2 linked regions of the Caenorhabditis elegans genome follow. The protein of the gene in region 1 interacts with the protein of each later gene in a pairwise test. Each region holds a gene or a part of one and is shown in the gene's direction. Other genes may lie near its edges. The genes, in order: vha-20 and chk-1.

Region 1 (12,904 bases):
ACGAACCTTTTGTTTATAACTTTTATGGTCCACACCATGAACGTTAATAGATTTTTGTTCAATTTTAATGTTTTTTTAAAGCAGTAAGCTTCATTTATATATGTTCAGGAAAACGCTGATCGAAATAAGTTCAAAGAGATAATTTTAACAAATTATATCTAATTTTCACCTTATTTAAGCAATAAAAGTCATGCTTCGGATTGACTCATCTCTCTTGCAAATCGACATATGCACAGTTGCAATTACGCTCTATCGCACTCCCTTCTCCCGGCACACCGGTCCATGTGTGTATGTTTTCACCGAGGAGGCAGTGTGCGCAACGAGGAGTGTATTCCCTTTTCTCCCTCTAGTCCCTCTTCAACTCCCCCTCTGTTTCACAACGACGAGAACATTTATCGGTCTTTGGTTTTAGTTTTTCGACTGTTCATTGATTCTTTCTCCTTCTCTTTCACCTCCATACACAGTTTCATATCATATCACATTTCTCGCCTCTCCAATAACCATTACTCTTAAAAAATGCAGTGGTTTTATTCCAGTCAACTATTGACGATGTCAAATAATGCGACGACAGATCCGAACATCGCCAATTGAAAATGAAGGAGACGAGTTCAAAAATGGAGAAGAACCCAGTTCCAGTGGGCATATATTTGGAAGACCTCAAGTGAGTTTTTCAAAATTCTGTTGTACTTTTTTAAAATACGATTATTGCTCAGATATGATATTGAAACTGTTACCAGTATTAAAAATCATAAATCTTCAGAACCAGTACACCTCTACACCACATCGTCCAGAAGTGCTCAATTTTGCTGCTCCCTCCGCTACCAGGTTGGCAATGCGCCGATCTGAGCAGCCTGTCACCTCGTCAACTCCATTCTCGTCGTCATCTCGTCCAATGAGTGCAGTCTTCAATACACCTTCCTTGTCGTCGTCAGGGGTAAGGCTCATGAAGTTTTAATAGAATCAAATCGACAAACGCTTAAAATAGCTCTAAAGCTTTTTCAAAAATTCTTGGTGACAAGTCTATGTCGTTAAAAATAAAACATTTCTTGCCAAAAACTAAACGTATGTACACATATAACCACTCTTGCTTTTTGAAGGTATATTGTCTTAGTATCACAACGTTTGTTGTTAGTATGGTGAAATATGAACAAAATTTGAATGAAACTATGTATTAATTAACTCTAAATGTTTTTTTCAGTTTCCCGCCACATCAACTTCATCAATTCGTGACTCTTCTCACCGCGATAGACTTATCTCCCTCCGGCACCGGATGAACAAGGAATTTGGCAACCGACAACTTGTTGGACCCACCGCGCAAACTGACTATGAGCATGATGAAACAATGAGCACAGTTTCTGACGCTCCTAGTCTTCATTCTTGGCATCATAAAATGATTGTGAAAAACGAGACCGTGGTGAGTCAGGCGAGAATTGCATTTTTTTTAAAGTTTGCCCGGATGTTTATGGAGGAGCAAACTGCATAAAATCAAGGGAATGTTTATGGTTGAAATATCATTTTTTGTTTAAAATGAGCGTTTTTATTCTCTGTTCCTTTTACTACAAATTTGATTTTTGAAACATTTGTTGTGAATAATTAGCGTTTACCATTCCGAAGTTTTCAGTGTTTGAAGTTTTGAAATCATTTCCACCATTTTAGAGACCGTCTTTTGTCGTCATTTACTACGCACATTAGCAATTGACACAGACACGCAAATGTACACAGTGCATATCATTTTTAAATTATTGTCTATAGGCCTAAAATAGTGCAACCTTCTATGAAATTTCAAATTTCGCATTTTCCCGCCAGGGTTTATTTTTACTATTTATCAAATTTCAGATAGTAAACGCGACGGATACACTAAGCTCTTGTGCAGCGCCACGTTCTGAAATGGGATTCGAGAACTCTTTAATAAGCCAGAGTAACACATCAGCAAATGCAACAATTACGCCGATGAAAGTGAATATACCTATAGATGAATCCCGTCATCGATCTTCCACATGGACTCCCACGGATAGCTCATGCTCGGGCATCTCGCCTAGCACAAGAGTACCACCACCAATTCCATCAAGAGCTCCAGTAATGTCTCCAGTCCAATCTCCCTTAACCCATCCTCCGGTAGCACCAATGCCACGATGTCCACCACCTCTGCCACCCCGAACACCATCAATGAAGCTTCCAGATCCGATTGCATTTGAGGTGGAAAACCGGATAGAAGAGGAACGAAAGAAAAATCTAATACAGCGGGAGATTTCAGTTGGTTCCTCTAAGAGCTCGGATGCACTGATGGCTTCAACGACGCCGGATGTTAAAGAAGTGAACGGACATAGGAAGTCAAACTCGATTGATAGAGGATTGACAATTGCAAAGGCAATGAAGGTAAACCTATAAATATTTTCAAAGAAATACGTTATCTTATAAACGAATAATTTCAGACTGGTCCATTCCCACCTAACGCGCTTGCTCTTGGAGGCCGTGAAGCAACCGGAGAAGAAGAGGAGCGCAACGTTGTCGCCGAAGAAGTAATTCGTCAAATCACAACTGATGTAGAAACAGCACATAATCTCAGTGACTGTCAGAATGTTGACACAATGAGCTTAGAGACTATACCGTCGGCATCCAATTCTACTGCATCTTCGCCATCTTCAGCTTCAGAAGCGGAATGTAAACAAATTGCAATCAGAATCCCCGATCCAATACCAGAAGAAGCGCCATCATCGTCCAAATCATTTGGGGCATTGGAGTCAGTGAATAGTTTGAGTCCGGCTAAAACAGTAACCAATCGCAATTCGCGAAGCTTGTCAAACGATGAGTTGAGAACCAACAAATCGGATAAGCTCTCCTCGTCTGTTGACCCAATTACCCTTGATGTGGAACGACGTTTGAGTATGAAGAGAAGTGGTCAGCACGAGTCTGATAGGCATAGCATTGGATCCTTGTAAGTTGGCACTTATTTAAAAAAAAATGCTTAAACGTGCATAAATATTATTTTAGAGATGAAACTACCTCGAACCGGACATTGTCTCGTACCGGAATCGAAAGTGCTGCATCATTTGCTCGGAACTCAGTGAGATATGCAAGTGGGATGCTCAGAGGGGCTTTCAAGCGTGTGCGTATCGCAGCTCATCCAGGGTTAGTTTTATCACATTTTAAAAATATTCAATTCGCATGTTTCCAGCTCGAGCAGTCTGAATCGTCATGGGATTGGCGAAGAAACAAGCGACGGAGAAGAGAGCGACGAGCCACATCATCCATCTGTTGCCCCTAGTAACATCGTCAGACCACGAAAAAGCAAGAAAGGCCCATACGACTTTGAGCATTTGACAGTCGAGCAGGAGCTGAACAACGAGCATACCGGAGCCATATGGTGCATCAAGTTTAGCATTTGCGGAAAACTGATGGCAACAGCTGGACAAGATTCTATTCTTCGCGTTTGGGTTGTCAGATCACACCTGCAATATTTCTCAGACATGCGTGAAAAGTATGCGGCCAACGCAAACCCTGAAGCAGATCCAATGAATTCAGTAGATAATATGGAACACTTTAGACCGCCAAGCTCTATGGAAAGTGTAGTCAATAGTGAAGCAACTACTGCTTCTGATGATAACAATGGATTATTTTGTGCAAAACCATTTGCACTATTGAAGGGTCATACTGCGGATATTCTCGACGTGTCTTGGTCCAAGAATTACTTTATACTATCATCTGGAATGGATAGGACAGTCAAATTGTGGCATTTGTCACGCAATGAATGCCTTTGCTGCTTCCAGCACATTGACTTTGTCACCTGTGTTGCTTTTCTACCAAAAGACGATCGTTACTTTTTGTCAGGATCATTGGATGGAAAATTGCGGATGTGGCATATTCCCGATAAGAAAGTTGCCGTCTGGAATGACACTGAAAAGAAATACATCACTGCGATGACATTTGTGAAGAGTGGAAAGTTTGCGGTTGTAGGAACCTATGACGGAAAATGCATCTTTTATACTTCTGATGTGAGTTTTGCAAAAATAGTGTTTTTTTTTAGTTGAAATTCTTTGGACGCAGAAATAAGAACCAATTTGTGATCATCGGTCGCAGACTGGTGGTTATCGATTTTTGGCATTGCTGTCGCTGCGCAAATGACTTATTCCTTATTAATTTTCAGCAACTGAAATATCACACTGCTGTGGATGTACGGTCAACAAGGGGTAAAAATGCCCGTGGTCATAAAGTCACCGGATTGACTTCTCATGGAGACAAACTTTTGGTAAGTTAAATTCAAGAATCGGTCAATAGGGAACTATAACAAGAATAGTCCCAAAGTGGAAAATTCAAAAATTGAATGATTATGCATGTATAACAGAATTTGATAAGAATTTTGTTGCAAAATTAAAATGACTTTCAGGTGACATCCAATGATTCGCGAATTCGAATGTATGACATTCGAGACAAGGCTCTCACATGCAAGTTCAAAGGGGTGCAAAACGACCACTCTCAGATCCGTGCTGCCTTCTCACCAGACGGCCGGCACATCATCTGCGGCTCAGAAGACAAGTTTGTCTACATTTGGCGTGCCAGCGACACCACCGTCGCCTTATCAGTCCGGAAGGATCGCAATTCGTGGTGGGAACGGGTGCGAACACACAACGCGCCTGTGCCTGTGGCCGTGTTCGCGCCAAGACCTCAAGTGTTCTTCAACATGCTTAACAAGCGGGATAAGCACTCCAAATCTGACTCGATTGATTTTAATATCAGCGGGCAAGTGTTGCCGGGACAATCGGATTCGCTAACATCCAATGGCAATTTGTCGATTCCAGGACATGTAAGTGCTTGTAGTTAAGAGACCTTTGATGAATTATTGACTTTTAAATTGGTCTAGAAGCGTTTTGGTACATAAATCATGAGTGCAGAAAACCACCGAAGGAATTCTTTCCAGAAAGATAATTTTTTTACGCTTTGCAGTAGTTATTAGTAATCAAAAAATCAATTTTTGTTTCAGGTAATTATCAGCGCTGATTTGAATGGAGTGATCAAAGTGATGATAAACCGTCCGCGTCTGGTCAAGGCAAATCCACTGGACCCAAAGAATTCACGTTCTCGATCCTCCACTCTGCTTACCTAGTTTTCTTAATAACAGATATTAATCATTTTTCTTTGAAAATTTATAACTTTCCTCCGTTTTACTACCAACGGCGTCAAACCGACCCCGAGTGAGCTTTATTAGCAAATTCCACTAGATTTTTGTTTTTTTTTAATCAAACCGCACGATGTCAATAGTTAATTTTTGAATTTTTGAATCTTTGAATTTTCATCCCACTCTACTCTTTTTAGCCCTATTGGTCTCCAAATTCTATGATGATGTCTTTTGTTTTTTTGCTCGCGCAGCTTTGCTTTTCTCTAGGAATAACCTATGTGATGTGTAAACCTTTCGTCCTAAACGGGATATGAATTTCTTTTCTTCTGGGATAATTTCTGCAGTTGGTAACCCATACAGTTCCAAATGTTTTCTATGAGTAATAAATTTTTCGATTTGCATTTTAAAACTATTCCCCTATTTTTAAATTATTTTATCTGTTGTCAAATCACAGTCTGATATATATTTTATTATATTTTTTAAAAACAATTTTCATGTTATGCCTTTAATTGTTTTTCTCAATCAATCAATTTCAGGATGAAGTTTGTTCTTCTCGTCTCCGCTCTGGTCGCCGCGTGTGCCGCATCTTCTCTGGAAATTATCGCAGCTCCGGCTTCCCTTAAGTTCCCGGATGCTGACGCAACCTTGAAGACCACACTGATTTCCACTCTCAATGAGAACATTCTGGGACTTTCTGCAAGACAAGTTGATGGTGAGTAGTGATATAGTTACTTTACATATAAAGCAAAGAAGATGAATCGTTTTTCAGGATTTTCGGTCTCCGTTGACATGTTCTCTCGTCCACGCGCCCTTGCCGTCGTAACTGTAATTGGAGCTGACAACCTGAACTTGGGAGGAAAAACCTACTCAACCAAATCCGACGGTGTTGAGAATGTTGGATTCGATCAAGACATGGCGCTGATCTTTGGAGCCGACCGTGAAAATGTGCAAGTTTCGGCTGGTGGAATTACCGGATCAATGCTCGCTCTTGCCGCCCAACAAGAAGCCGTTGATGCTACTGTAATCAAGACCAAGAGAAGCACACTTGTCAAAGAACTTGAGGCTGTTTATCAACTTGCCGCTGCCATCAAGAGCGCCGGAGTACAAATGGATAACAATGCTGATGTTTTCCGGTAAGTTCTGTTAGATCCCGGAATCTTTGTTTCACATTATTTTTTTATTGTAGTGTCTCCATCACCGGACTTGTCGGAATCACCGAATCTGCCCAAAAGGAAGAAGCTGTCGCAGACGTTAAGGCCGCCATTGAGGCTCTCACTGCATCCATCAACAATGCTTACGGTGGACAAGCTGTCATCGAGCTTCTTGCATTCGAAGCTGAATCCGGAGCCGCCGAGAAAAGCACCGAGTCTCGCGAAATTCCAAACCATAACATTCAGAAGAGAGACACAAAATCAAAAACGCCAACCCAATTAGCTCGCGAAAACCTCCAAGTGACTGTTCCAGTGTCCTCTGATTATCCAGCAATCTTTGCTATCTTCCTTGGATTAGTTGTTATTCTTGTTGTGGTAAGTAGAAAATTACAGAATAATGTTCATCATATAACTGATGTTAACTCCAAAAAATGCCATTAATTTCAGGCTCTCATCTACATTGTTGTGGGAATGGCCTCAATCGACCCAGAGAAGGATTCCATCATCTATCGTATGACCACCACAAGAATGAAGAAAGACTAGATTCTACAGCATCTTCATCAAATGAGCACTATGCTCACCATGTTTCACTGTTGAAAATACTATTTTCGATATTATTTTCAAATTCTTAATTTCTGATTACCGTTCGAGACATTCCATTTTCCAATTTTTCCAGTAATTGATTGTATTCTTTTCTAAAATTTTGATGACTTTTTTGTTTATTTGACTATTTTTTCCCATCCTGTTGGTTTATCTACTTCACAGATTAGTACTAATAAATGTATCTTATCGCAGAACATTCTTCTACAGTGAAAAATTTATACAGCTTCAGAAGTAACATTGGGATGGTTTCATAAAAACTTGATAACCGTCTAAGGAATGCAAAATACATACTTTTCAATTTGGACTCTCTAAAGTATAATTTGCCAAAAAAAAAAACCAAAATTGCTAGAGTTTCCGCAAGCATACTTAATATTTGGCACAACATAAAGTCTGGTTAATTGATCAAAACTCTCTCAGTGGAAAAACAAACAACGGTGTGGCCATTATATTTGTATACCCAATTGTCAATCTGAATTTGAAAGTGGGAAAGAAAACCAAAGTTGCATCAAACTTTGAATATTCACTATTGATCTATTGACCGGTTTAAACATTCCAATCTTTTGAGATCAGCGTTTGATATGCTGATTTTCCAATTTCAACGATATGTACTATGTAAAAATAACACATTCTAAATGTAATCTATGTAATGTGTTCTTCTTGTTTTCCGTGTGACAATCCTTGTTGTATTTCTCCTCCTCAGGCAGAGTCAGCAGTAACTGGACCTTTCTACATATCTACAGGGCAAAAAAGAGGGGGGGGGGGGGGGGGGAAGAGGGTTCTCGGGCATCAATTGAAGTAAGATGCAGATGAACATACACAAAGATACATATGTTCGAAATGATAAAAAAGGTATACTAATTTTATATCAAACATATCATACGCGGATAGCAAAATTTTTCTAATGTTTTCTATTTGAAAATATATATATATCAAAGTTTTCACGAGATTTTTAAAAAGAAATTATGTTCATGAAATTTGAAAAAAAATGATTCCGCAGTCAGCAGGATTCGAACCTACGCGGGCAAAGCCCAATTGATTTCTAGTCAATCTCCTTAACCACTCGGACATGACTGCACATTGGGCTTCAGAGCTACAATAGCTGATAGTAATCATTCTTATCATTATTTATTATCGATTTCCTCGATTTTTAATACGTTTTTCTACAATAAACTTTTAAAATGATCGTTCAGTTCCTCGGTAGTATAGTGGTGAGTATCCGCGTCTGTCACATGCGAGACCCGGGTTCAATTCCCGGCCGGGGAGATACTTTTTTGTTTTCAAATATATTTAATTTTTGTTATACTTTAAAACTATATCTTTTCTTACATATTCTTACTAATATGATAAAGTAAAATTTAATTGAGCAAAAAACACACTTGAGTCATGCATTAAATCAATCTTCTCTTCCATTTTCGGTTATCATCCAACTACATATTCGTATCTTCATTCCGCAATATTCCAAAAAAAAACTTATGAGTCTATATCACATTTCATATAAACAACGCGCTATGCATATCAAATAGCAGACTCCTCCTTCACTATGAAAACGATATCAAAAATCGTTTATACAATCTGATTTGTTTATTTCAACTTCTTGCCCGTTTCCATTTTGATTTATTCACATCCGATATTCAAACTCATCAAAGTAGCAATGACTCTAACGCAGTTGTTATTAATTGGTAGGTATTTTTCTATCGATAATCAAGTAACAATTCGGTTTCAAGGGATTCTGGTAATCTGGCACCTGGATAATCAAGTGTGTGGTCTTTCAAAAGAGCAACAGCTGGAGAAACAGCTCATGGTGAAGTACAATTACAAAGTCCGACCTGTAAAATCTGAGGCAACTGTGACCCAAGTCAACGTGTTTCTGAGCATTGCTCATGTGGAGAAAGTGGTAAGTAATGTACATACAGATTTTAATCAGCTTAATGGCTAATGTAGAATATTACAAACTGTTGAGCTAATAACATTTAGAACAAAAAAAAACAGCGTATTTAATAACAAAAATTCATTATTTTAAAGCTCCAAAACTATCACCATAAAGAAAAGTTGAACCAAAATTTAGATTATCCTAGAAACACTCTATGGAAAAGCAAAAGTTTTTTGTCAGCATGGTATGCCTAATACATTTAATTTCAATTTAATTGCAGGACGAACATGAACAGACAGCTCTTGTCCACGGCCATATCTGGGCAACTTGGATTGATGAGTATATGCAATGGGATGCCAAAAAAGAAAATGTCACAAAACTCACCATCAGTGCTCACTCACTGTGGCAACCTGCTCTGGCGTTGTATAACAGGTACGTGAATTCTAAGTATTCAAATTTACATATGTCTTGAAAAATGAATAGTTTCAATATTGGATATACTGCGTGGCGTTTACGCTGAAAAAGGCACGCTTTTTTTTGGAAAATCACGGGGAAGACATAAAAGACAAAAATCGGGACCCCAACCAATATCAGCCGCCGACATAAACGAAGTTCCGCGCAACACTACGTTTCACTCGCTGTGTACGTGGCAAGCTGTCCCGCCCGCCGCGAGGAAAATATAGTGGGGCGCGGAGTCCATAAGATGTCGGCGGTTGATATTGGTTGGTGTCCCGATTTTTGTATTTTCCCCATAAGTTTCCGAAAAAATATGGGCTTTGGCGACTTCCAAAATATGGCGTGACAAAAACTGTGTAATCGCCATTTTTTAATGTTTTTCGTAATACTACTGTTTTTTCACTTTAGCGCTCGTGGAAACAGCTGGCACTTATACATGGGCGCAATGCCGGCAACTGTTTATAGCACGGGAAAAGTGTGGAGCACTGGAACATTCTCCTTCTACGTCACTTGTCAATTCGACTTTACCAATTGGCCTTTTGATCAGCAGGTAGCTCCAAGACACGTGTTTTGGTATGCTAAAAAAACACGTAATTTCAGTCATGCCCGATTGTAATTGCCGATTGGGTATACAATTTGAATCAAGTCAATTTGAGCGATCCATATATTCTTAAAGAATATGGCAAACCGTCAATTCGACTGAGCTACGACCCTATTGAGAAGAGTGACAAACGACATGTTGCAGGCAAGTTGTTGCTCTTTGAAAATTAGGTGTTACAATGAACTATTAACTCAAATACGGTAACTATGCGCTTTTGCGTCTTTTGCTTCAGTGATCATTTTTTAAACTTTTTCCTAAATCCTCAAGCATGCGATTTTTACTTCCAGGGTGGGAAGTCATGGATGCATGGAAAAAACATTGCTATTGGGGCCCAAAAGGATGCAAGGAAGAGCAACCAGAAGGTGAAGCAGAATGGTACTGGTCACTATTGGAGTTTGGCATTATTCTCAGACGTCATCTTCCGTACTTCAGTCTCAGTATTTTGTTTCCAATGGTGAGATGTTTAAAAACTATTTTTTAGCAGCTGAAAAATACCTTTACAATATCAACAAAAAAAAACCACACTTTTTTTTGTAAGAAAATGAATTTTGAAAACACAATCGGGCATAGCAACATGATTATTTTTCAGGCAGGCACATCGCTGATTCTTCTTTTATGTTTCTGGATTGAAACGCATAGTATCTGTTTTTTCACGATTATGCTCAACATCATATTGCAAAGTTATTACGGCAGTAGTTTGCTTGCGAAGATGCCACCGGGAAGTGGGCGAACTCCAAAAATTGGTATGCATCTTATTGACAATCATCAGAAAAAGTTTAACATATTTTTATTCAGTTCACCTCTACAACATGAATCTTCTGCTGAGCGCTGTTCAATTCGTACTTATTGTGTTCTCGGAGTTTTTGAGACTTAGGTTGCCCAAGAAATTCGAGCTTGATCTAGGTTTCGATATAATTGGAGTTCCTCAAAGGTTTGGAGTTGACAAGTTATTCACGCAGAAAGGATTATCGTTTGATCCACAGGAGTAAGTTGAGAATTTTGATCCACAATAAAACATTTTTTAGCAGTTGGAGTTATTTTAATTCTATCAAAAAATTGATTAACCTATTAACCGATTAACCCAAAAACATATTAAAAATCGTTGTCAATATTTCAATAACAATTTTACAGGCTGTTCAGCAATGTATACAGTACCCGCACATTGGAAGAAATTCTGGAGCAAGGTGGTGGCTCATCGAGCACTTCTGTTGGTATTGGTAACCCTCTTCACGAAGACATTACCTCTTTCCAAAAATCATCTGATTCGAGTGTTCTTATTGACATCCCGATGACATCTGAACCACAATCATTTTCTGCATCAACATCTGAACTACTCTCCTCGGAGCCATCGTCTAATGAAGAAACTCAAATTTCTGAGGAACCAGAAGAAGAGAGAATATTGGATGTTCAACTTCGGCACATCAAGCGTTATGTTTTCTGTTTAGTTATTTTCATTCATATTATTGCATTTCTTCTAGTTCTGTTCACCTAAGTTTAGGGCGTCTTCTTCTCAACTATAATTTCCGTGTTTCACGCCTGAGGTTTTTCTTTCAATAAAGTTGGTGTTGGTTTTGATTTTCCACTTGTTTTATTTGGGCTTTTTTACAATATTTGAAATTGGCAGATCAAAGTAGCTTGTATTCCCAATCATTCGTTTAGTTATGAACAGTTTTCACCTTGATTTGAATAAAGGATCTAACGTAGTGTCAGAGTGTGCCATTTTGGTTTGATCTACGTAGATCTTCAAAAAAAAACGAGAGAAAAGACGCAGAATTCTCAACTAATTTTGCATGGTTAAGAGCGTGCTGACGTCACTTTTTTTTTTTTTTGAAAAAAAAATTCACACATTTTTTTGTAGATCAAACCGTAATGAGACAGCCCGACACCAGAATTTCCGAACAAGTATTTTTGTTGAATGCTCCCAACCTTTGATTTTGGACAAACGAAATGTAATCAGTAGTACAATTGCAAGGGTGAGATCAAAGAAATTAGACCAGCTCTCAACAATTTTTCATACTAACTTTAAATAAAAGCTAGTACGAAAACTCAACTATTATTCAACATTCTGATTATTATCAAACTGATATGCAGCTATACTTCAGCAAGTCACATGAGTTAATTGTCATTGTTGACGTTGCTCACTAACAAGGAACCAATATTTCTTTCGAGTAGTTAGTATTGAGCCGCACTCGTTTCTATTAGAAACGCTATCCATCGTTTCAGATTTATCCGTCGCACGTTTATCTTTACTAATCTGGTTATAGTAAAAACTTGATCAATTTTTTTTGGATCAGAAACACAACGTTTTGGAGATGGCACTGTAGCATACTTATCAGGTCGTTATAAGAAAAAAAAAGCTTCTAAAGCAGCTTGGATAATGACTATTTTTACAGTTATTGTACACAATTTTCGTACTTTCTCATAATAATATTTTGCTACTGCTTTGCTTGACGTTCTACTTTTAGGATAACCTATCTGCGTATTTAGTGTTTTCTATGGTTCTATCTCTCAATCAGATAATTTGCAACTCAGTTTTTCTCTAGAATTTTTCTTTCAATGCCTGTCCTGGTGCAATCATTTACCAATTTATTCAGCACATAAAAGCGCGCTTCTCATGGTTACTGTGCTAGCGGTTAGGTTTTAGGGGGAAGCCTCAACTAATTCTATCTAATTGGTATATCTTCAGGCGGTCACCGTTTATCATTTCCTGCTCCATGTGCGGTCTATGCACCTGAAAACTATGTGTCTCCCCTGTATCTACTGTTGCCAGCGATGTGTCTCCATTTATGTGACACTGCATACGCCTGCATTAAAAAACACCACTCCGGCGGTTTCTGACTCTCCAGGCCTTAAGTAGTATATATTCTACTATAGGGGTTGTTCATAGTTTCCTAACGTTGTATACATGATGCCAAGTGAATTATACGCTCTAGGATAGACTCAATTTGGTGCAGGTGCACAGAGCCCACAAGATGCGGAGCAAATGATAAATGTAGGCCGCCTAAAAAATAGACCAATTAAATAAGATTAGTGGAGAAGCAACCTCCGACTAGATCCTACCCGCTGACAGGAAAACCCGATAGGAAAATACACCAGGACAGGTGTCGAAG
Region 2 (12,904 bases), on another chromosome or scaffold:
TCGGCTGAAGCAGCTGGAAAAGTAGGGGGAGGTGAGGGGAAGGTGCATTAACACGTGGTGCCAGAGTGTCTCATTGAGGCTTGATCTACGTAGATCTACAAAAAATGCGGGAAAAGAGACGCAGAATTCTCAACTGATTTCGCATGGTTAAGAACGTGCTGACGTCACATTTTTTGAGCAAAAAATTCCCACATTTTTTGTAGATCAAACCGTAATAAAAGGTACCTGTACAAAGCCGTTTGGAGTGGGGACCAGAGGTGGCCAGATGTATAGTCTTCCATAATTACAATAACGAAAATCATGGATCCTAAGGATAAGCACCACATTATTCGATCGACCCACTGAACATAAATTTCATCCTGATGGCGGGCTGAATGAAAACTTACAGGGTTTATGTTGATTTTTGGAATTCGCCGCATGAAATATCCCAGTACCATCCCCATTATATAAATCTGACACCGGATCAGCGGGTTATGGTAGTTCCACGCTGCATACCGCCTGAAAATTTCTGATACTGTATCCATATCAGGGGCGGCAAATGATTTTTTCCGGCAAATCGGCAAGTTGCCGGAATTGAAAATTTCTGGCAAATCGGCAAATTGTCAGAATTGAATGTTTCCGGCAAATCGGTAAATTGCCGGAATTGAATTTTTCCGGCAAATCTGCAAACCGACAATTTGCCGAAAATGAAAATTTCTGACAAATCGGCAAATCGGCAAGTTGTCGGAATTGAAAATTTCCCGCAAACTGTCAAACCGGCAGTTTGCCAATTTGCCAAATTTATCGACAAAAAAATTTGCCGAATGGTAATTGGTGCCCGTATTGGAGGGTAGGGGAGCGGAGTTTTTTACTAATCAAACCTTTTACTCGGGTCATACAACGGATCCTTGGGTCCATAGTTGTAGTCTGACGGCGGGAAATGCCAAAAAATCATTTGATACGCATTGAACGCCGTTGACGCCAAGAAGGCCGCAGTTGAAATCAGGAGTCCGACCACTGCGCCACCTAGTCCAAAGCTTAGAAGAATCAAGGGACTCATGATGTAGATCTGGAGGTCGGTGGCAAGGTACCAAGATATGAAGTAGCACTGAAACGTTTTTATGATGCACATCTGAAAATGGCCTAAAACTCACGATATCTTTGGGGCCAACAATATTCTGAATATATAAAAGATTGACCCAATAGCTATTCTGACACGTGTCATCTACCACAGCCGGAGTCATGAACGCTGGCATATCAACCATGGATCTTGTGAACACAAATGTGAAGAACAAGATTGTGACATAGTACACCGGGCTCAGACGAGCAATTCGGTGCACGTAAAACATCAGCCATCCACCTGGAGAAAGTAGCGCGTTCCACTGTTTCTCTAGTTGTTTGAACCAGAGAAATGAGAGCAAGAAGGCCGAAATGAAGAAGAAGGTGTCCACCGAGAAGTAAGCATTTGAGATTAGGGTTCCCGTATAGGTATCCTTGGTGAAGTCGTATAGATCTATGGGGTTTGCTGAAAGATTACCAATAGTCTCGAGCTTTGGTGAATTGAAGGCTTACTGATAACCATGAAAGTGATCTCTGAGCAATGTCCGAAGATTACCCAAAATGTTGAAATGACCCGAATGCAATTGAGCGAAGTTACTTGGCCTTCCTGGAAATTTATTAATTGCAGTGTCCGGGTTCTAGTCTTCGTAATAGCATTAAGTTTCGGCAAATCGGCAAATTGTCAGATTTGAACATTTCAAGCAAATCGGCAAATTGCAGGGATTGAACATTTCAGGCAAATCGGCAATTTGCCAGAACTGAACATTTCCGGCAAATCGGCTAATTGCCTGAAATGAAGTTTTCCGGCAAGTCAGCAAACCGACAAATTATTGATTTGCCGATTTGTCGGAAAAACGGCAATTGCAGAACATTTTTGGGAATTGTGTTTTTGCACTTTTTTTTGAAAATTTCAGAATTTAACTTTTGATCGTAAAAATTGTGCGTATCCTATAAATGATCCTAAATCTATTTTGAAAAGTAAGCAAATTCTATGAAATTATCTAAAGAAAACGGGAAAAATTTTAAAAAGGCACAGTTTGAAGAGGTTCCGTCTCATAAAAAATTCCTCTAAAAACTTCCGGCAAATTGATGTTCGGCAAATCGGCAATTTGCCAGTAATCAAAATTTCCGGCAAATTGGCAAACCGGCAACTTGCCTAAAATCGAAATTTCCGGCAAATCGACAATCCGACAAATTGCCGATTTGCCGAACGGCAATTGCACTCCACACTGGCAAGTACTTTTAGTTTTATAAGCGAAGCGCCGTAAATCGACCCTGGCCGAGCAAAAATCGCCTAATTCCGCAAATTATTGCATTTCAAAATATGAGGGAAGTAGATCAAACCGAAATGGAACACTCCGACACCACGTGCATAAACCAATGTACCATAATGGGGTTTGATCTACAAAAAATTGGGAAATTTTTCGCACAGAAAAATGAGACGTCAGCACGCGAAATCAGAAATCAGAGCCTGAATTCCCGTAATTCTCGTAGATCAATGGGACCAGCACTGTCGTAGCACCATAAAATCTGACCCTACCTTATGACAATTCTTCGTGTTGAAAATCTCCTTCAAATTTCGATGAAATGAGAATGCGCTGAATAACTTCCAACCAAAACCCTCCTCCTTCCTCGTTTTGTCGTTCAATTGGAATTTTTGAAAAATATCGGAAAATCCTGATAAAATGCAGAGACCCACAATCAATGATAAAATGAGTCTGGAAGTTAATTTCTATGAAAGTTAAAACTGGATAAATTTTTTTCCTGAACTTACAAAACTATCCATGTTCCCAACGAAATTACTGGAACTCTCTGATTAACATTCCGTACACTGCACACTGGAGACAAGGCTTTACTGGGCCCCAGGGCTGTAAACTTTTGCTATTACTTTTTTACAGCCTGTGCCATTTTTACGAACCTTCTCTAAAATACCCCGTAAGATCCTCATTTCGACAAGACCAGGGTAAGCAGAGATCTACTCCAATTTGCGGGAGGTTACACGAGCTATTGAACGAGTTGGGGCGCATTTTCATATCGAATAAGATTCTGGAACTAGTTGGATTTTGCCGCACAAGTTGCAAAAACAGGAAATATGTAGGTACCTGTAATAATCTCCCTGGACAGTTCGATTTAAACTCGAGGAGAACATCTGAATGGATTTGCATTCCGAAAAAGCGCCGGTGCTTAGAATATGGCCTCTAACGATGCCGGATCCCAGTTTACCGGCAGCGTCCATCACTGGAAATTTGAAAATTTTAAGTCAAAATTTCGTTTGAAACTTAAATGTTTAGCTATAATACATCTCTTTTAAACAATGTTCAACTAGTTTTCTCATTTTCTTAGAAATTGCGGGAAATTTTAAATTCCGGCAATTCGCCGATTTGCCGGTTTGGCGAAGAATATATGTGCAAATGCGCTCTACTGAACACCGAGCATTTTCGGGCGCTTTTTAAGGAAAAAATGTTTGGCCCAAAACAAAATACTATTTTTTGAGAAAACTAATAAAAAAGTTACTGTTGTAATTTTTTTAATCTTTTAAAACTTTTTTCTAAATTTTTAAAATGATTTTTCAATTTTGCCAAAATAAATTAAATGAGATGTTAGGCTCCGCCCACTTTTTGGATATATACGTGTTTTCTGGCAAGTTTAACTGTTTTTTTTTCAAATTTTATTTGTGCTCCAGTTACGTGGCGTCATGTTGTCCCATTACGATTTGATCTACAAAAAATGCGAGAACTTTTTGCCCAAAATAATGTGACGTCATCACGTTCTTAACCATGCGAAATCAGTTGATAACTCTGCCGCATTTTTTGTAGATCTACGTAGATCAAGCCAAAATAAGACACTTTGAGACCATGTACTCCAATTTGAGACGCTACATGAGTGGGCGGAGCCTAACATCTAATTTCTTTTAATTTGGCAAAAGTGGAAAAAAAATCAGAAAAAATTTAGAAAATACTTCGAAAATTTTTTACGTTTGTTACATTTGGTGATTACGGTCTATTTTCTGTCATTCAGAGTAAAAAATTTGGATCGTGTCAGGACCCACATTTGAAAAAAAATATCTCACTGGGAATAAGGTAATCCTTCCGTTCCTGATCGGTCATTGATGCTGGGACCGCCGCCGTACTGTGATGCCGGGCATATCGTGCCGCATCGATTACACCGTAACCCAAAAATGAAAGCTCTTCGTGACATTCTTGAGAAATTGAATAATTCGCATTTGAGTGAATACCGAGGGCAGCGATTAGATCGCTGGTTTTGTATTTTTCCTGGAAAATGTCAGATCGTTGCGAGACCCAAAGGTGTCAGGCTGTCCCATAACGGTTTGATCTCCAAAAAAATGCGGGAATTTTTCCACAGGAAAGTGTGACGTCAGCACACAGTCTGTGTCTCTTCTTCCGCATTTCTCAAAGATAAAACCAAAATGGGACACTTTGACACCACCACGTGGAAAACGTAGAACACTCTTGATTTGACAAAAGTGCCAAATCGTTGCGAGACCCAAAGTATCCAGAAACCCACCAGCTGCTCCATAACCTCTATCGGGTGAGCGATCAGCTCGCCGAGCAGCTCCATAGCCTTATGTGGATCGAATTCGATACCAGAACTGCATTGTAGATTAGCGAAAATTATGAAGACTAGAAAAATGGCACGTAACATTTTGTGCATTATGAATTGAATATTCTAAACTCATCTTATCAGTGTTATTACGTACGGTTATCATTTTAAAAAGTTACAATGAAATGGTAAAATAACACAAAAACATGGGAATCAACACTGAAAATCAGAAATCTTGTTTTTTCGATAGATAAGGCAAACGATTTTTTCCGACAATCCGGCAAACCGGCAAACCGGCAAATTGCCGGAATTGGAATTTCCGGCAAATTGGCAAATTGCCGAAAATCAAAATTTCCGGCAAGCCGGCAAATTTCCGGCAAATCTGCAAACCGGCAAATTGCCGAGTTGCCGAATTTGATGGATAAACGGTTTTTAACGGCAAATAGGCAAACCGGCATTTTGCAGAAAATGAAAATTTGTGGCAAATCGGCAAACAGGCAAATTGCCGGAATTGAAATTTCCGGCAAATCGGCAAATTGTCGGGATTAAAAGTTTCCGACAAATCGATAAACCGGCAAATTGCGGGTATGTCGAATTTGCCGGAAAAAACGGTTTTTACGGCAAATCGGCAAATCGGAAAATTGCCGGAATTTAAGTTTCTGGCAAATCGGCAAATTGCCGGAATTGGCATCTCGGGCAAGTCGGCAAATGGCCGGAATTGAAAATTTCCGGCACACCGGCAAACCGGCAATCCGCGGAAAATGAAAAGTTTGGGCAAATCGGCAATCCGGCAATTTGCCGATATTGAAAATTTCCGGCAAATCGGCAAGCCGGCAATATTCCAGAATTGAAAATTTCCGGCAAATCAGCAAGCCGGCAAATTTCCAGAATTGAAAATTTCCGGCAAATCGGCAAACCGGCAATTTGCCGATGATGAAAATTTCCGGCAAATCGGCAAATCGGCAAACCGACATCTTGCCGATTTGTCGACCTTGTCGACAAAAAAAAGTTGCCGAATGTCATTAAATGTAGGCCCAACAAAACTGCAAATAATGGTATCTTTTCTGTAGTTTGTAGTCGATGACGCCATTTGTTGCAGCAGAAACAAAATCTTGGAATCTTCGAACTTTCTGGAATCATCTGCAGAAAAATTTTTGTAGAACTTTTGGAGACTTCTGGACAAATCTGGAAGTTCTGGAAAAATTCTAGAAAATTAGAAAAAAAAACTTTACTGTAAAATTCTGGAGAATTCTGGAGAATTCGGTGTCATTTCTGAAGAGAAAAATCCAAAAAAACACCGGAAAGCTCAAGGAATTTACAAGAAAATTGATGTTCTTTCTATTTTTTGGATTCGGATGATTCTGTCGATATTATTTTATTTATATTTTCATATTTCCCTCATTTCAATAATTTTTCGCCTTTAATTCATCTCAATAGTGTAAAATTCTATTTAAAAAACATAAAAACATATAAAACATGTTTTTTCGACAAAAAATTGCCCGTAAATCCACACAAATTCCGGCTCCGAGCGGGATTTCGGAGTGTCGTTGCGCGCGGTAAATTCGAATGCGGCAACGTTTTCTGCGGTTTTCTTGTTTTCTTGATGCAAAATTCTAAAATATTTCAGGTTTTATTCAGTAAAAAATGTAAAACAAAACGATATTTCTCGATTTTTATCAATTTTTACCCTAAAAACCCAGAAAAATCAAGGTTTCTTTTAATTTTTTTTAACTTTTCCTGTTTCAGTGGTGAATAATCCTTTTTATTTTCAATTTTTCAGCAGAAAATGTCAGCAGCGTCCACGACTTCTACGCCAGCAGCAGCAGCAGTGGCACCTCAACAACCAGAATCGCTGTACAGAGTCGTTCAAACGCTCGGAGAAGGCGCGTTCGGCGAAGTCCTCCTCATCGTCAACACCAAGAATCCAGAAGTGGCGGCGGCGATGAAAAAAATCAATATCGCCAATAAAAGCAAGGATTTCATAGACAACATTCGAAAGGAGTACCTTCTTCAGAAACGTGTGTCCGCTGTCGGCCATGACAACGTGATTCGAATGATAGGAATGCGAAATGATCCGCAATTTTACTATCTCTTCCTGGAATATGCGGACGGCGGAGAGCTTTTCGATAAAATAGAGCCCGATTGTGGAATGTCGCCGGTTTTCGCGCAATTCTACTTCAAACAACTCATCTGTGGACTCAAATTTATTCACGATAATGATGTGGTTCATCGTGATATTAAGCCGGAAAATTTGCTGCTTACCGGAACTCGTAAGAATCTTTTTTTTTTTTTTGTCAATTTTAAAATGCTTAAATTATCAAATTTAATCTTCCAGATGTCTTAAAAATCTCGGATTTCGGCATGGCAACTCTTTATCGGAACAAAGGAGAGGAGCGACTGCTGGATTTGAGCTGTGGGACGATTCCGTACGCTGCTCCAGAGCTCTGCGCCGGAAAGAAGTACCGTGGGCCGCCCGTCGATGTCTGGTCGTCTGGGATTGTGCTCATTGCGATGCTCACCGGGGAGCTTCCGTGGGATCGGGCTAGCGAGTGCGTTTTCATCGCGTTTTTGGCGGAAATTAGCATATTTTGATGGTTTATTTCACATTTTTCGGCTAAAAATGGCAATTTCTCAACGAAAAATGTGTATAAACGAGAAAAAACAATAAAAACTATTTTCCGACCGTTGAGACACCAAAAATCAGAGATTTTAGCTAATTTTTGACGAAATGAATGTTTTTTTTCAGCGCCTCTCAATCCTACATGGGATGGATCAGCAACACGAGCCTCGACGAGAGACCGTGGAAGAAGATCGACGTTCGAGCCCTCTGCATGCTTCGTAAGATCGTCACCGACAAGACGGACAAGCGCGCGACAATCGAGCAGATCCAAGCGGATCCGTGGTATCAGCACAATTTCGGTCAAGTCGAGACACCGAACGGGCGGCCACTGAAACGCGCTCGCAACAATGATGAGAATATGTGAGTTTAATAGATGGCTTCGGCCATATCTGGTGTAGATTTACGGCGCGTTGCGTGTCGCGTCGCGGCTCGATTTTAGTTGCGAAAAATGCAATGAGGAAGGCCAGAACCCCATTTAAATTTAAAAAAAAATCACAATTTCATGTTAAAATGCTCAATATATTCCAGCACATGCACTCAACAAGCCGAATGCTCCGCGAAACGTCGTCACTTGGAGACTCCGAACGAGAAGAGCACTCTGGCGGAGAGACAGAATGCTTCGTTCTCCCAGCCGACAAAGACTGAGGATCTTCTGCTTACTCAGCATATTGATATGTCGCAGACCAACTCGGTTAGGAAAAAACCGTCAGAAATTGGCGGATTTTTAGCTAAAATCTCCAATTTTTCGGTCGTAAATTGGCATTTTTGATAATTTTAGGATGAAAATTCGCTAATGACACGGAAATGGTTGCAAAATTAGAGGTTTTTGCTAAATTTACTTTTTTTTTTGATTAAAAAACCCAGAATTTAGTTTAAATCCCCCTAAAATTTTCAGAATCTCCTCCAACGAATGGTGTGCCGTATGACACGTTTCTGCGTCGTCACCGACATCCGTTCCACGTACCAAAAAGTGGCTCGAGCCAGTGAGCACGCCGGCTTCGGCGTTCGTGAGACTGACGACTACCGTCTACTAGTCACGTGGCGCGAGGTTTCGATGATGGTCAGTCTGTACACGATGGGCGATATTCCCGACAAGCCACGTGTCATGGTAGATTTCCGCAGGTCTCGCGGTGACGGAATCCAGTTTAAGAAGATGTTCATGGACGTTAGAAACCGTATGCATGAGTGGATATGTACCGACGGAAACAACTGGCTCGCCAATCTTGGATATGTGCCAAGAAATCCGCAGATAGTTAATGGTGGTGGAGTCAATGTGGAGCACTCGGCGTCCTCGATCAATGTGGATGTCTAATTGTTTTTTTTTGTTTGTTCGTTTTTTGTTCCATCAGACTATTGAGATTTAAAGCACAATATTTATCATCATCATCATCACTTTAAACATCTCCCTATCCCATTAATTTTTAAATTTAACGTGAATTAACGCCGAATTACAAGCCTGTGAATGAATGTTTGTTTTTATCTCTGCGTCTAGAGTTTGTCCCCACTGCCTCATCATTCCTCCTCTTTCTCTTTTCCCTCTCTCACTTTTGCACAATATCTCGCTGCCCCTCGCCTCCGTTCGATAGTCGTCAGCTGAGAGAGTGTCTGCAGCAGACAAGACAATTCTTACTAAATAATACGCACGAATATATTCTTATGAATTTTTCTACCCCCTACTGTCATTAGGTCTCAACTGGAAAATCTGGAATTCGTTTTTGTAGTTTTCAAAATATCAGTGGCGCGTCGTTCCCACTTAACAACTCAAAGTGGTTCGGAAACCCATCGGAGAAGAGGCTGACGAGCCAGCCGTTGTCCCGGCCAAGCGACAGAGGTTTGCAATTTAAAAAAAGCTAAATATGACGATTTTGCGATACTGTACCAGGTCTCAACACGACAAATTTCTATAAAATTAATGCAAAAGTGTGTGTGCGCCTTTAAAGAGTACTGTAATTTCAAACTTCTGTGGTTACGGAATTTTCTTATCGATTTTTCTTAGTTTTCCGATAAAATTTCGTATTTAAATTCTTTTTTTAAACACCAAAATTTAACAAATGATGAGAACAATTGAGAGAAATCGATATTACGGGAACACAAAATGCTGAGAATGCGTACTGCGCAACATATTTAACGCGCAAAATATCTCGTAGCGAAAACTACAGTAATTCTTTATATGACTACTGTAGCGCGTGTGTCGATTTACGGGCTCGATTCTCGAAACTGATTCAGGCCCGTAAATCGATACAAGCGCTACAGTACTCCTTAAAGGCGCACACTCATTTGTATTTATTGTAATGCCACAAGATTTTGTCATTCATTCTTAAAGGCGCATCGATTCACTCAGATGGGTCTCGGCGCGAAAAAAAAATTTTTTGGAGTTTTTGCGTTTTCTTTCATTTTTCTGTTAAAGCCGACAAGCAGGAAAAGCACTTATGAAATTTGTCTAAACATTTTACGAAAATTTAAAAAAAAAACGACAAAACTCGCTAAAAACCAAGAAATTTCATTGATAAACGCAAAAAAAAAAACTTTTAAAAAACTCTTTTCGCGCCGAGACCCATCTGAATAAATCTGGGTGCCTTTAAGCGGACATGTCGACTTCTAGCGAAATTACGATAACAAAACCTTCAATTTCAATCGATTTTTTGTAGTTTTTACGATTGCAAACATATCAATTTTTGCAAATCGAAAATTCCGCGGCACCTAAAGTTTTAGACTACAGTACTCTTTAAAGGCGCATACCTTTTGACAATAAACAAAACATTGTCGCGTCGAGACCAGCTACCGTATTCTTGGCGCGCGAAAATTGGCAAAAATTTCAAAAAAAAATTCCAGAATGACTGTCGACGAGCAACTTGACGATGTTGGTCGTAAGGGTAAGAAGATGTCTGTAGCACAAAGATTGCAGAATCATGCGGTAAGGGTCTCACAGCGACACGTGGTGTCAGGTTGTCCCGTTATGGTTTGATCTACAAAAAATGCGGGAATTTTTTGCCCCAAAAAATGTGACGTCAGCACGTTCTTAACCATGCGAAATCAGTTGAGAAATATGCGTCTCAACTCCCGCATTTTTTGTAGATCTACGTAGATCAAGCCGAAATGATACTTTTTGACATCATGTTCCGCGATTGAAATGCAACAAAAAAATTCACTTTTTCCAGCAACTATCCCCCAGATCTCAAGATGATCCCGAAGAAACCGAGTCGGTGATTCGAAAGGAAATCGCGTTGGGAAAATATGATAAAGCAACAATTCGAATTATTGCACAATTTTTGGATAATATCGGCTTGACGTAAGTTTTTGACCAGTTTCGGGTCTCGGCACGACATTTTTTATGTTGAATGAAAACGGGTGTGCGCCTTTAAAGTTTCTTTATCGATTTTTCAGAGTTTTTTGTAAAAAAAGCACACGTGGTGTCAGAGTGTCTCATTTCGGCTTGACGCAGAGTTCTCAACTGATTTCGCATGATTAATACCGTGCTGACATCACATTTTTTTGGGCAAAAAATCCCGCATTTTTTGTAGACCAAACCGTAACGGGACAGCCTCGCACCACGTGGAATTTTGGAATTTTGAAATTACGAAATTTTAAGGCGCATGTCTTTTTTCAATAAACAAAAAATGTCGTGTCGAGACCGGCTACCGTATTTTTGACCCATTTTTTCAGAAGCTCTGTTGAAACTCTCGTTGAAGAGACGGGCTTCACAATTGAAACAACGTCGGGTGCCAGAGTCCGTGCGAACATTCTCAAAGGAAACTACGACGCGGCGATTCAAATTCTCGAAACTTCAAATGATCACATTACTGAGGAGACCGCAAAGCATGGATCATATATTGTTAAATGCTTCAAACTAGCTGACCTAGTTCGGAAAGGAAGGGTTCGTGCTAGACTTGGCACATGGTGTCAGAGTACGGTTTGATCTACAAAAAATGCGGGAATTTTCTGCCCAAAAAATGTGGCGTCAGCACGTTCTTAACCATGCGGAATCAGTTGAAAACTCTGCGTCTCTTTTCCCGCATTTTTTGTAGATCTACGTAGATCAAGCCGAATTGAGGGACTTTGACACCACGTGACATGGTGCATCGTGTGTCCAAAATATTTTCAATTTCAGTACTTTGACGCTCTGTTCACAATGCAGAAAATGATACGAGGCGTCATACTTGATCATTCCGAGCATTTTGATTATTTTGACACTTTTTTCAAAGACGTCCTGCTCGGAAATTGCCGATATCAGAATATTGAGTGAGAATTTTTATTTTAAAACTCGATTTTCTAAATAATTGGAAAATTTTCAGCCAAGTTGCCGAGAGGCAGTCCCAGTTGGCGTTTCTCGAGGAAATTCTTCCATCCGACTTTATTTTGCCGCAAAATCGATTGAAGACTATTTTGAATAAAGGTAATTGATTTTTTGAGGACACAAAATTCTGAGAGCTCTGCGTATTGCACAACACATTTGACGCGCAAAATATCTCGTAGCGAAAACTACAGTAATTCTTTAAATGACTACTGTAGCGCACTGGTGTCGATTTACGGGCCTTAATCAGTTTCGAGAATCGAGCCCGTAAATTGACACAAGCGCTACAGTAAGAATTACTGTAGTTTTCGCTACGAGATATTTTGCGCGTCAAATATGTTGTGCAAAACGCATTCTCCGAATTTTGTGATCTCTTAATTGTACATCAGGGGTGGGCTGCAATTGCCGTTCGGCAAATTTTGTAAATTCGGCAAATCGGTAAATTGCTGGTTTGCCGATTTACCGGAAATTTTGATTTTCGGCGATTTGCCGATTTTCCGATTTGCCGGAAATTTTGATTTCCGGCTATTTGCCGATTTGGCGGAAATTTTGATCTTTGTCAAATTGCCGTTTTGTCGGTTTGCCGTTGTTTGCCGCCCACCCCTGATGTACACACAGTAAAAAACTAAAACCTGCATTTAAAATATATAATATTCCAGTCCACGGCGCAGCTGCCGACGAAAAAGCGCCGAAGCTTCTACGCGACGAGCCTTCGAATAGTGTAAAGACGATCCCGTGGCGACAAACTCAGCTATGGGATCACCATAAATTCGAGATTTTCTGCGTGAAATTCTCGCGAAACGGAAAAATGATGGCGAGCGGTGGAAAGAGCAACTCGATCACCCTCTGGAAGTGTGCAAAATCGAAGCTCACTCGAATCGGCGAAATGGCGCCGATCAACGAGGGAGATATTGCCTATATGGAGTTTTGTCAGCAGAATAAGTATCTTCTGATTTGTGGAGGCCAAATGGCGAGATATAATGTAAGTTTTGGGTCAAAACTACGGTACCTGGTCTCGACACAACAAACATCCTTTTTCATTGCAAAAGAGTACTGTAGTTTCAAACTTCCGTTGCTGCGGGATTTTCGAGATACAGTACCCTTTTGAAGGCGCATATCCTTTTCAAATTGAATAAAAATGTATCGTACACGGGAATCAGGGTAGTGGCAAAATTTTAAAAACGATATAAAAATTTTTCCAAAAACGCGAGGGACACATTTTTCGCCAAAAAATAGAAAAACAAAAAAAAACCCGCCATTTTGCTTCATGATCTACCACTTCTAAGGCGCGCGCATTTATACTAAATGGTCTCGCCACGCGCCACGCATTAATTTTAAAATCTACTTTTTTTAATCGTGGCGAGACCATCTCGCATAAATGCGGGTGAGTTTGA

Evidence for each region.
Region 2: the proteins of vha-20 (region 1) and chk-1 interact in a two-hybrid assay, tested with the Caenorhabditis elegans proteins (one large-scale study listed by BioGRID).

What each region holds. Positions count from the first base shown.
Region 1 is NC_003284.9:14,157,252-14,170,155, reverse strand, and holds vha-20 (Renin receptor-like C-terminal transmembrane spanning segment domain-containing protein), read left to right. Parts: upstream 1-5,649; 5' UTR 5,650-5,650; coding exon 5,651-5,825; intron 5,826-5,882; coding exon 5,883-6,246; intron 6,247-6,299; coding exon 6,300-6,639; intron 6,640-6,711; coding exon 6,712-6,807; 3' UTR 6,808-7,057; downstream 7,058-12,904. Other genes in the region: sym-4 (WD repeat-containing protein 44), read left to right, coding at 560-661, 761-934, 1,199-1,414, 1,837-2,376, 2,433-2,935, 2,992-3,129, 3,176-3,992, 4,145-4,246 and 2 more; lgc-25 (Acetylcholine receptor-like protein cup-4), read left to right, coding at 8,519-8,546, 8,592-8,761, 9,018-9,169, 9,602-9,743, 9,794-9,938, 10,082-10,248, 10,384-10,537, 10,590-10,779 and 1 more.
Region 2 is NC_003283.11:3,752,945-3,765,848, reverse strand, and holds chk-1 (Serine/threonine-protein kinase chk-1), read left to right. Parts: upstream 1-6,379; 5' UTR 6,380-6,385; coding exon 6,386-6,869; intron 6,870-6,934; coding exon 6,935-7,148; intron 7,149-7,345; coding exon 7,346-7,579; intron 7,580-7,747; coding exon 7,748-7,910; intron 7,911-8,114; coding exon 8,115-8,531; 3' UTR 8,532-8,696; downstream 8,697-12,904. Other genes in the region: oac-55 (Nose resistant-to-fluoxetine protein N-terminal domain-containing protein), read right to left, coding at 1-13, 226-341, 387-498, 861-1,087, 1,134-1,504, 1,552-1,645, 2,579-2,756, 2,813-2,906 and 4 more; gid-7 (CTLH domain-containing protein), read left to right, coding at 10,053-10,133, 10,378-10,508, 10,883-11,093, 11,328-11,458, 11,512-11,612, 12,170-12,492. UniProt on the Caenorhabditis elegans protein: Serine/threonine-protein kinase which is required for checkpoint-mediated cell cycle arrest and activation of DNA repair in response to the presence of DNA damage or unreplicated DNA.